3 linked regions of the Arabidopsis thaliana genome follow. The protein of the gene in region 1 interacts with the protein of each later gene in a pairwise test. Each region holds a gene or a part of one and is shown in the gene's direction. Other genes may lie near its edges. The genes, in order: AT4G23030, GOS11 and ABCB29.

Region 1 (3,757 bases):
TAAGTGTATTAAATTAAGCTATTGAATAGTATAGAGTACTTTATTTACTCTTAGCTTATCGGATAATGGTTAATCTCATATAAACAGAAGTTATCAAGCGACAGGACACAAAGGTTTGTTTAGTTAAAGTTACATGCATGAGAATGAATAAATTAGACTATTAGGATTCCTCCTATTACTTAGGATCTTTATGGGGTTGATTCATTCTATGCCAAGGATATTATAGATTTTTGAACATTTTTGACTATATGACATCTTTTGTCTCACAAGATATTGTTGTTTAATTACTTTGATCATATGAAGATATTGTTTCTAGAATGCATATGGATGAACAACCATTAAGTATATGCGGTAATACTGATTATAGGAAAATACGTTATAGACAGTGTGATGAGAATTAGGAACACAATTGTGTTAATGAAAAAAATTTGTTAATTTTAACCAAAACACTATTAGATTCCTCGATAACCTTGCCCTTTTTCCTTGTCAAGATTACCTTAACCTAATTTTAAGTCGACGTAAATTAATTTTCACATAATTTGTTAATGATATTTGATATTCAAGATACAATGAAAAAATACTCTGAAATTTCACATAAATAAAACATAATCAAAACATAATAAACACTTGACAACAATTTTAGTCCAAAAGGAAATCAATTCTCTTTCGTTCATATACAAAGTAACAGTAAGTTGTAACTTAGAAAATTGATCGAAAATTTGACTTGGAAACCCTAATCATTTCTAAAAATATAAATATAAAATCTCTGAAATACGTAAATTATAATTTTTTTATCATGTTATTTATATTTGTTTGTTACTTCTATATTTACATTTGTATTTATTTTTATTTCATATAGTTTATATATATATATTTTTTTCTATTTACAGTTGTTAATTTTTTTTTTTGTTATAATATAATAAACGATCGACATAGCTCGTGATAAGATAATGTTATTTTTGTTCCCCATCATCCTTAAGCTATATTAATGGTCCACATTCTATAGAGGTGAAGCATGTGACATCGTATTATATCTATGCACAAACAATAAATTCTTATCCCAAAATTAATAAACACTAATAAAAAATATTCTCTTTAAACTAATTATTATTTTCTGTTAAGTTCTCTTGAAACTAATTATGAAAGCAAGCCTTTTTTTTTGCCAAACTATAATTTTCCCCTCGATTATATGATCAATAGAGTGGTCCAATAAATTGTTTTGAAGTTTAGAAATAAGCATTAAGTAGGTATAATATTCTATATAATTCTTCTCACTTTATTGCAAGCATCAACATCGTCCCAAGTTTTATATAAAATGGTCCATAAAATTTTAAATCTTAGTATTTCGTAACAACTTGATACCAACCTCTCTGTATAGCTGCTTAATTTTCTGGTATATGATCTGTGTCCATCCCTACTAGCTTACTACTTTACTACTACTTCGAGCAGTTACTTATTTGATTTTGTAAAGAATCCATTTCGTTTTTTTTTTTTGGCACATGAAAATTACCCATAATGGTCAAATTCAATACTATTAAAAGTGAGGAAGAAACGACATGAGTCAATTTGTTACACTGGTTTATTATTTAAAGAATAGAAATCCCAAAAACGTCTCAAGTTTCAACTCTTTCTATGCTGAGTTGTATTGTATGTATGTATCTAAGTATCTAACTATAAATTAAACGAAATACAGACAATAAATTAATCGTGAATAAAAAAAATTCTTAATAAACATCCAAATATCAATATTTTCTTGGAAACTTATCTCCAAATGGAAACAAAAATCCTAATAAACGTAACCATGATTAAAAGAAAAGAGTTGCATAAACATCCAAAGAAAAACAATACTATTATATATATAAAAAATCCAAATCAACATGAAGAAAGTAAAATGATTCCAAATAGACATCCAAAAATCATATTTTCTTTAAACTTTTTTTATTGGTTTTCCACAAATGAAAATAGAATAAAATAGTGTCTCTGAATTAAGACGGAGTCGTAACAAATGACATAATGGCCGGTCAAATAAACCGCCAAAATTGTTCTGTTATAATTAAGACTAATTTCTGAGTCAAAAAACTTCTCTTGTTCCCTTAAGGGCCTTAATCACTATTAACCTTAACTAGTGACTTAATCTCAAACTTATAACACACCTTTCACACATCAACAACACCTTCTTCATCATCTCCTTTCTCTGTCTCTGTCTCTCTCTTCTCTCTCAAACCTGTAATCATGGCAGCTCCTTTGTTGATGATCATCAAGAACCAAACAGATCACCGACAAGATCCGAATCCGAACCCGACCCACCTTTCCTCTTCGATCCAAGAAGCCAAATCAATCGCCAAAATATCTCTCCCACTGATCTTAACCGGTTTACTTCTCTACTCTCGCTCAATGATCTCAATGCTCTTCCTCGGCCGTCTCAACGATCTCTCTGCTCTTTCCGGTGGCTCACTCGCCCTCGGCTTCGCTAACATCACGGGTTACTCTCTCCTCTCCGGTCTCTCTATCGGCATGGAACCCATCTGCGTTCAAGCCTTTGGCGCCAAAAGATTCAAACTTTTAGGCCTTGCTTTGCAAAGAACCACACTTTTGCTTCTCCTCTGTTCTCTTCCCATATCTATCCTCTGGCTCAACATCAAGAAGATCCTTCTCTTCTTCGGACAAGACGAAGAAATCTCAAACCAAGCTGAGATCTTTATCCTCTTCTCTCTCCCTGATCTGATCCTCCAATCTTTTTTACATCCTATCCGTATCTACCTCCGATCTCAATCGATCACTCTTCCTCTAACCTACTCTGCTTTCTTCGCAGTATTACTCCACATTCCGATTAACTACCTTCTCGTTTCTTCTCTCGGTCTCGGCCTTAAAGGAGTCGCCTTGGGAGCAATCTGGACTAATGTCAATCTCCTAGGGTTTCTAATCATCTACATAGTGTTTTCCGGTGTTTACCAGAAGACTTGGGGAGGATTCTCAATGGATTGCTTTAAAGGATGGAGATCTCTAATGAAACTAGCCATCCCTAGCTGCGTCTCGGTTTGTTTAGAGTGGTGGTGGTATGAAATCATGATTCTTCTATGTGGATTGTTACTTAACCCGCAAGCAACCGTGGCATCTATGGGAATCTTGATCCAAACCACCGCTTTGATCTACATTTTCCCTTCCTCTCTGAGTATCAGCGTATCGACACGTGTCGGGAATGAATTAGGTGCGAATCAGCCTGATAAAGCGAGGATAGCTGCGAGAACCGGACTTAGTTTAAGCCTTGGTTTAGGTTTATTGGCAATGTTTTTCGCTTTGATGGTGAGGAATTGCTGGGCAAGATTGTTCACAGATGAGGAAGAGATTGTGAAGTTGACTTCAATGGTTTTACCGATCATCGGGCTTTGCGAGCTAGGAAACTGTCCTCAGACCACATTGTGTGGAGTGTTGAGAGGAAGTGCGAGACCTAAGTTAGGAGCAAACATAAACTTGTGTTGTTTCTACTTTGTGGGAATGCCAGTGGCTGTATGGTTAAGTTTCTTTAGCGGGTTTGACTTCAAAGGACTATGGCTCGGTCTATTTGCAGCACAAGGCTCGTGCCTGATTTCGATGCTGGTCGTGTTGGCTAGGACTGATTGGGAAGTTGAGGTTCATAGAGCAAAAGAACTCATGACTAGATCATGTGATGGTGATGAAGATGATGGTAATACACCGTTTTTATTGGATTCTTTGGATATAGAAGAAAATCTTGTCTTCTAGTTTTGATTTATTGGCA
Region 2 (3,757 bases), on another chromosome or scaffold:
CATATAACAAGATCAAATCCATTCATCCCTTCAAGGAATTTGTTGTTAATAGAAGCTAAGAGCGTGGTTTTACCTACTCCCCCCATACCATAAAGACCCAAAGTTCTTCGTTCATCTTTCATGAGGCTGTTCCATGCCCTTCCGACCATTGCATCCAACCCAACTGTGGTTTGGATATGCTTCTTCTCCACCTTAGGCGCAGGAATTTTCTCTGCCACCACTTCAAAAACTCCTTTAGCTAGAAGTCCTTCCACGTGTTTCAACTTTTTCAGTACATTTATTCCGTAATTGCGGCCAGATATGAAATTCTTAGAACAATATCCACAGAGACATAACCTTTCAGTTTGAATTGATTTAGCTTTCAGCAGATCATTGACTTGAGAACAAACATCTTTAACCCTTGAAAGCCAACCTTGAACTTGAGCAAGCCGTTGCAAACCTTTGTCTTCTTCTATGACAACTCTTCTTAACAGATCATCTCTTCTCTCCTCGAGCTCTTGCATAGTATTCTGCAGAGCCTCGAGATTAGCCTCCATCTTGAGAATGTAATTCCGATCACCAAATAAGCAGCCACAAGCATGATTCAACGTTTGATCACAAGATATTTCTAGTGCTACACAGTTTCCCATCTTACTCAAACTTTCAAATATCAAGACGATGCAGGAAACAACACAAGATAAGGAGCACTGAATGGAGAAGAGGAAAAAGAGTACAATCGTGCCCTCCTGATATTGATTAGAAAATTTAAAAGTCAGACTGCAAGTTCTAATATCTTATTGAAAGTGGCAGCTTCAACGAAAAGTCAAGATGCGTGTTCAGATATCCACAAAATGACATTGACCATCAAACATTAAGAAACTATAAGATAAAGTTTTCTATCCACAAAATGATATTGACCATAAAAAAATATGAAGAGCACAACTATCTTTCAACTTTCAACTAATGTAACACTCTGCTACTGTAATTGTTGCCGTAATTACTCAATTCAAGCTCATCCCTTTCTTCCTCTTCTTCAGTATCATCTCCGATATGTTCGTCAATTGTCCCTCCGCCATAAAAAATCTCCTACTTTCACCAAAAAAAATAGACCTTATTTCTCTTTGGAAAAAGTTCGTAATTCATTAAAGAGCAAACACGAAGAACTAAAGCCATTAACAACTCGAAAAATTGCATAATTTTCCCGAGCACCAACAAGTGAAAACACGATGAAATAGTAATCCACAGATTGAGTTGAGATTGATCAAAAGCAATTCGAGGAATTTCTGAAGAAGCAAACAGAAGGAAACCGAACGAGATCGAAGCAGTGAAGCAAAAGCGTAGTCAAAGCGAAAGAGAATTAGTTACCGGCGGAAGAACAAATTTGAAAGCGACGACGGGCGGCAATCGCTTGAATTGATTGTGAGGGAGTGAGACTTGAGAGTGGAAGTATATCCGAATGGAGCAGTTTGATGAGAGAACCCGGTAAGCTTCTAGGACTCGAGCCATCGAGCCGGGTCTATTTTTACTGGAGAACGATGTCGTTTATGTTAAGGTTTACTATTATCCACGTATCGCTTGCAAGTTTGACTAAATGTGTAGGTCAACTTATATATAAACTTACTGTAGGGTGGAAAACACTGGATTATACCCGCCGAATCTCAGGTCATCGAATTAATTAATTTGTGATTACGCAAAACTGAAAAGCAATTTTCCGTTGAAGGGGTACGCAGAAATTCTGTCTGCGTCTCCGAACCAACTCTATCCTTCTCTCAATCCGATCCGTTCCGTTCACTACTTGTCTCAATTTCGAACCAATTGGATCGCATCTTTTAGGGGCTCAAACCTTTGGTGACGAGGACGAGGAAGAAGATTGTCGCATCTGATTTATATCGGAAAAAGGTCTCTTGCCGGAAAGGACACGATCCGCTTTCATAAAGGAGAGATTTTGACAGATTCAGTAGACGCCATGGATGTGCCTAGCTCTTGGGATGCTTTACGGAAACAGGTATTTTTCTTTTTATAAAATTATTGTGTCGTTTGATTCGAAGCTACTAGGTAATTGTGTTGGGGAAGCTGGTAGTGTCTGAAAATCTGTCTTGAATTTCGAATATTTGAGGTCTGAATTGATATCAATCTTCTGGGTTCGATTCGAATTGGGGAATTTATTGGTTTTGTTGGCTAATTCTCAATGATTTATCTTTTTACTGGATCCAATTGATATTTGAATAAGCTTTGTGTTGTATTGAATCCCACAGGCTAGAAAGATTGAAGCTCAGCTTGACGAGCAGATGCATTCATATCGTAGACTTGTTTCCACAAAGGCTTTATCAAAATCAGATGGTAATGAGAGTGATCTTGAAGCTGGGATTGACTTACTTCTTAGGCAACTGCAACAAGTTAATGCTCAGATGCAAGCATGGGTATCTTCTGGTGGGTCAGAAATGGTCTCCCATACTTTAACTCGACATCAAGAGATCCTTCAAGATCTGACACAGGTACTGTTCCTTTCCTGACTCATACCATTTGAATATTTGCCTTATTCTATAGCTTGTGTTGATTATATACTGATTAGTAATGAAATGAGTGTTATCTTTTTAACCATCTGTTCACACTCTGCTCTTGGACTAGTTTATGACTCAACCTTCGTTGTAAATCAGTCTTGTTCCTGTATGTATGACTCATTCAAAATGCAGGAGTTTTATCGACACCGCTCCAGTCTTAGAGCAAAACAAGAGCATGCTTCACTTCTTGAGGACTTTAGAGAATTTGATCGGACTAGATTAGATTTAGAAGATGGATATGGGTCTGAACAAGCCCTGATCAAGGAACATATGGGAATCAACCGCAATACAGCTCAGGTATATAAACTCTCCTTTGCGATTAACCTTTGTTAGACTCTACAGCTGTAGCGTACAATAGGCCTGGCTTTCTCAAGTTAATCGAACACGTCATGACTTATGTGAGCTGACTATTATATAAACGGTGCAGATGGACGGTGTCATTTCACAAGCTCAGGCAACACTCGGTACGCTTGTGTTTCAACGTTCAACTTTTGGAGGCATCAACTCAAAGCTTAGCAATGTCGCCAGCCGTCTACCTACGGTACGAAGAGCTTTCCTAGTCTTATTTACACACTCTTTTGCTCGTTGCTTTCTTTATGTTCGGTTATGGCCTGTGTTTATCCTATATCTCACCCTGCAATTGGATGGTTAAAACCACTGCAGGTGAACACTATTCTGGCAGCGATAAAGAGGAAAAAGTCGATGGATACAATCATTCTTTCACTCGTTGCGGCTGTATGCACATTTCTCATATTCATTTACTGGATAACCAAGTAGAATTTGCCCATTTCTTTCGTTTCATCTTTATGTTGGGCCACGTCTGGTTTTCCCATGATGTCAATTTGTTCTGCAATTATCGGTGTTCTAGTAAAGAATCTAAAGATCAAAAACATAAATATTGTGTACAGAAAATTTCATCCCTGTCTTTGCAGTCTAGACGAGCTTGTTAAATGTTGAGTTATTTTGGAGATGCCACACATACAGTACAACCATCTGTTTCTCTCATCTTGTAACTTTTTATTTGTGGGAGTATGTTGCTGCATTGAAAAGGGTACATGGCGCCTACATGCAATACGGCTTTAATATAATCATTATCATATATATGCTCGCAACTAATCCATATTAGATTTAAATGTCACATTACCTCTGGAAACTAAGAACCATGCCAATAAAAGTCCATCTAAGCCATATAATCATATATCCAAGGGAACATTCAT
Region 3 (3,757 bases), on another chromosome or scaffold:
TCACATGCATATATTATTAACTTCCAAATTTATTGCTCATGGTTTAAACATTATGTGTTAACATATTTTTATACTACATTATTATTGTATGTATTTAATATCATAGGTTTAAATATAAATTTAATTAATAATATGCAATTATGCATGGCACGGGGAACCACTAAGACTATTGTCATGATATTAATATGCTGTTAAAGGGCTTTAACGGGCTTCGGGGTTTAAAAGGCCTCAGATCTTAGCAACCGCTTAAATTCTCGGTTTAGTTTCGGTTAAGACGAATTATCATCAAATTAGAATTAGAAGTTGATATTCCTTTTGGTTCGATTCAATTTGTTTTGGAGAGAAATGTCATTTCTCCTCCGCTTAACACCGCCGCCGTTATCTCACCGCCGGAGCTCATCTCTCTTTCTCAAACATCCATTTCAACAATCTCCGAGACCTCTGAGCTCCGGTAAACCCTCGAAAATAGGGGATAAAAAAAAAATAGGGGATTGGTTTCTTGTTCATCAAGCATCAACGCCTTTGCAGTAAATTTTTTGGTGCAAAACAAAGCTCTTGATTATTTAGGTAGAAACGCTTACATATTTTTAAATTTCACAGACTTTGTATATACATAATAATTAGTTTTTAGAGGGGAAAAAACATTGAAGATATCTAAGAGTATCTTCAGGGGAAAAATATCTCTGGTCGCTTTCAATGAATATCTCAAGGCTGATCTTGTCAAGTAAGTCGCCGTTTAAACTCACCTTGACATCGCCGGTTAGGCCACGTCTGATTAGATCTTCTGGAGCAAGAAGATCGTTGAACAACCATCGTAAGTTTGTGTCTAATGACCTTCGACCTTTAACGATTGTGACAATGTTTTGCCAATCTTTCTTATAAACGACTTCCCAAGTGATCATTACATCATCCATACCAGACTTGGGCAGTTCAAAACGACTCAAGTCTACGATTTCTATTTTGAACCGGTCATTAGGGTTAAACTCGCGGTCCGCGCCAAATTCTACAACTGTTAACTTCTTTGATTTGGTTGTGTACACGCCTATGACAAAGGTGAGATCCGACATGGAGATTTTGGGTTTGGGAAGTTCCTTAGCTCCCGAGTGTTCTCCTTCTTCGGCCATGACCACCGGGGACTTCTCCATCTACTTTTAACCTCTCTTTGTTTTGGAATGAATTTTGTGTTTATATATTCACCCTCCATAATTTATATATAGTGGTACAAATCCTCAATGAATTAGGAATACTGGAACTAAAATTGATTACAATTAAATATCTAATATAGAGTTTTAATTTTCGTCATATATTCTAATAATATAGAGTATTTTTTTGAATAATTTACAAAATATATGGAAATTTGTAGATTTATACTAGCTAGGTGTATTATGGGCCATTCTGCAGCATTTCATGGTTATGAGTCCAACATTTCATACTAGGTGGATTAGATATTAAAATAATGAATTAATTTAATTACTATAATAAATTAATAATTTTCAGATTTTATTATTTTTAGAGATTTTTTATGATTTAATTTAGTATTGATTTTTTCTTATTAAATATTAGTTAGATAAGGGTGTTAAATATTTTGACAAATGTTAACACATATTTTTATCTAATTAGATTTATTCTCTGAGTTATTTCAAACTAAATTAAAATTCTCTCACAAAACAAAATACATATGTTATTAACTGATTGTAAACTTTCATTTGTGTCAACAAACTACTTTTACAGTTTTGAAACAACTTCTTATTCATGACATTTGCTCTATAATTATACTAGGTGGTGGACCTCTCCCACCATGTTACGAACCTAAATCTAAAATACATATATCAATATGTTACAATTTCAACTAAAGTTAATCGAAACGTTTTAAATTGCAAACAAAATTAACTGAAATTTAGTTTAAATGTTTTTCTACCAAAAACTATAAATCTCTTGAAATATTCAATATAGTGTGTATAATGAGTTTTAAAATTTATTTAATAGTTGTAAAGTAAAACTATTTGGGGTTAAATATCAACCTCTTACTTGATAAGATCAGGTTGGGCCTCGGGTATTAAACTCATAAAGGCCTCAGATCTTACTTCTTAGCAATCGCTTAAATGTTCGGGTTTAGGTTCGGTTCAGAAGAATTATCACCGAATTAGAATTAGAAGTTGATTCGTTTTGGTTCGATTAAATTTGTTTTGGAGAGAAATGTCATTTCTCCTCCTAACACCGCCGCCGTGTCTTCTCATTCCTCCGCCGCCGCTATCTCATCGCCGGAGCTCATCTCTCTTTCTCAAACATCCATTTCAACCATCTCCGAGACCTTTGAGCTTCTGTAAACCCTCCGCTCTCCGTCTCCGAGCCAATACAACAGTCAATTCACTAAAAGCCCTCGAAACTATTAAACCCTATCTTCAATCGGAATCTAAAACCGTCCTACTTGGCTGGCTCTGCAGCTGTGTCTCTGTTGTCTCGCTTTCTCAGATTGTTCCTAGGCTCGGCTCCTTCACTTCCAACCTTAACGCAAACGCCGCGAGCTTGACGAAGCTCAAAGGCGAATGTCTCGTTTTGGCGGGTCTGGTTTTGGCTAAGGTTGTTGCTTATTATCTGCAGCAAGCGTTTCTTTGGGAAGCTGCTTTGAATACTGTTTACAAGATTCGGGTTTTCGCGTATAGGAGGGTTTTAGAGAGAGAACTAGAGTTCTTTGAAGGTGGCAATGGGATTTCATCAGGAGACATTGCTTACAGGATCACTGCTGAAGCTTCTGAAGTTGCTGACACTATCTATGCTCTTCTCAACGTGAGTGTTTTGCTTGTTATGAATGTTTTGCGAAGAGAAAGTTTCCTTCTTTTCAGAATTTTTTGATACATTGTGGTGATTTTGGCTAACAACTATAAGCTCTACACTTCATTTATATGGCAGACAGTTGTGCCCAGTGCTATTCAGATATCTGTAATGACGGCACATATGATTGTTGCAAGTCCTGCCTTGACACTAGTCTCTGCAATGGTAAGTGAATCAATTGTCTCTGTTTGTGTCTCTTTTGCTCTAGAGTTTTCTTATTAGTTTGGGTATTGTTCTAGGTGATACCATCTGTTGCGCTTCTTATAGCATATCTTGGTGACCGGCTTCGTAAGATATCTAGAAAAGCACAGATTGCCTCTGCTCAACTTTCTACCTACTTGAATGAGGTATTAGTCTTTCCTACAATTGGTGTTTTTCTTCTTCTTGTTAATTTACGGGAAAATTACTAAAGCAGAGCTTTTTATGTTTAGGTTCTTCCTGCAATTTTGTTTGTCAAGGCTAATAACGCAGAGATCTCTGAGAGTGTGAGGTTTCAGAGGTTTGCTCGTGCTGACCTAGATGAACGGTTTAAGAAGAAGAAAATGAAGTCACTTATCCCTCAGATTGTTCAAGTTATGTATCTCGGATCATTGTCGATATTTTGTGTTGGAGCTGTTATCCTTGCAGGCTCTTCTTTAAGCTCTAGTGCAATTGTTTCCTTCGTGGCATCATTAGCTTTCTTGATCGATCCTGTCCAGGTAGATACTTGTGTCAGTGTGGCATTCCATGCCTTGCCTCTATACTTTTTTGTGTATAGAGGAGCTGTCTTATTGGGATTTTGAATCTAAAAAACATGCAGGATTTGGGAAAAGCTTATAATGAATTGAAACAAGGAGAGCCAGCGATAGAACGTTTGTTTGATTTGACCTCTTTGGAATCTAAGGTACTACACCCTATCTTTCCTCTGATCTTCTCTTCAGTTTAT

What was found.
Region 2: the proteins of AT4G23030 (region 1) and GOS11 interact in a protein complementation assay, tested with the Arabidopsis thaliana proteins (one large-scale study listed by BioGRID).
Region 3: the proteins of AT4G23030 (region 1) and ABCB29 interact in a protein complementation assay, tested with the Arabidopsis thaliana proteins (one large-scale study listed by BioGRID).

Annotation. Positions count from the first base shown.
Region 1 is NC_003075.7:12,070,625-12,074,381, forward strand, and holds the start of AT4G23030 (MATE efflux family protein), read left to right. Parts: upstream 1-2,135; 5' UTR 2,136-2,232; coding exon 2,233-3,741; 3' UTR 3,742-3,757.
Region 2 is NC_003070.9:5,458,278-5,462,034, reverse strand, and holds GOS11 (golgi snare 11), read left to right. Parts: upstream 1-1,675; 5' UTR 1,676-1,945; coding exon 1,946-1,984; intron 1,985-2,234; coding exon 2,235-2,474; intron 2,475-2,672; coding exon 2,673-2,837; intron 2,838-2,967; coding exon 2,968-3,081; intron 3,082-3,203; coding exon 3,204-3,317; 3' UTR 3,318-3,637; downstream 3,638-3,757. Other genes in the region: AT1G15890 (Disease resistance protein (CC-NBS-LRR class) family), read right to left, coding at 1-629; AT1G15885 (uncharacterized protein), read right to left, coding at 940-1,065, 1,345-1,485. UniProt on the Arabidopsis thaliana protein: Involved in transport from the ER to the Golgi apparatus as well as in intra-Golgi transport. It belongs to a super-family of proteins called t-SNAREs or soluble NSF (N-ethylmaleimide-sensitive factor) attachment protein receptor.
Region 3 is NC_003076.8:1,055,545-1,059,301, reverse strand, and holds the start of ABCB29 (ABC2 homolog 12), read left to right. Parts: upstream 1-2,129; 5' UTR 2,130-2,196; coding exon 2,197-2,787; intron 2,788-2,910; coding exon 2,911-2,997; intron 2,998-3,071; coding exon 3,072-3,179; intron 3,180-3,263; coding exon 3,264-3,530; intron 3,531-3,631; coding exon 3,632-3,715; intron 3,716-3,757. Other genes in the region: AT5G03920 (F-box protein), read right to left, coding at 621-1,145.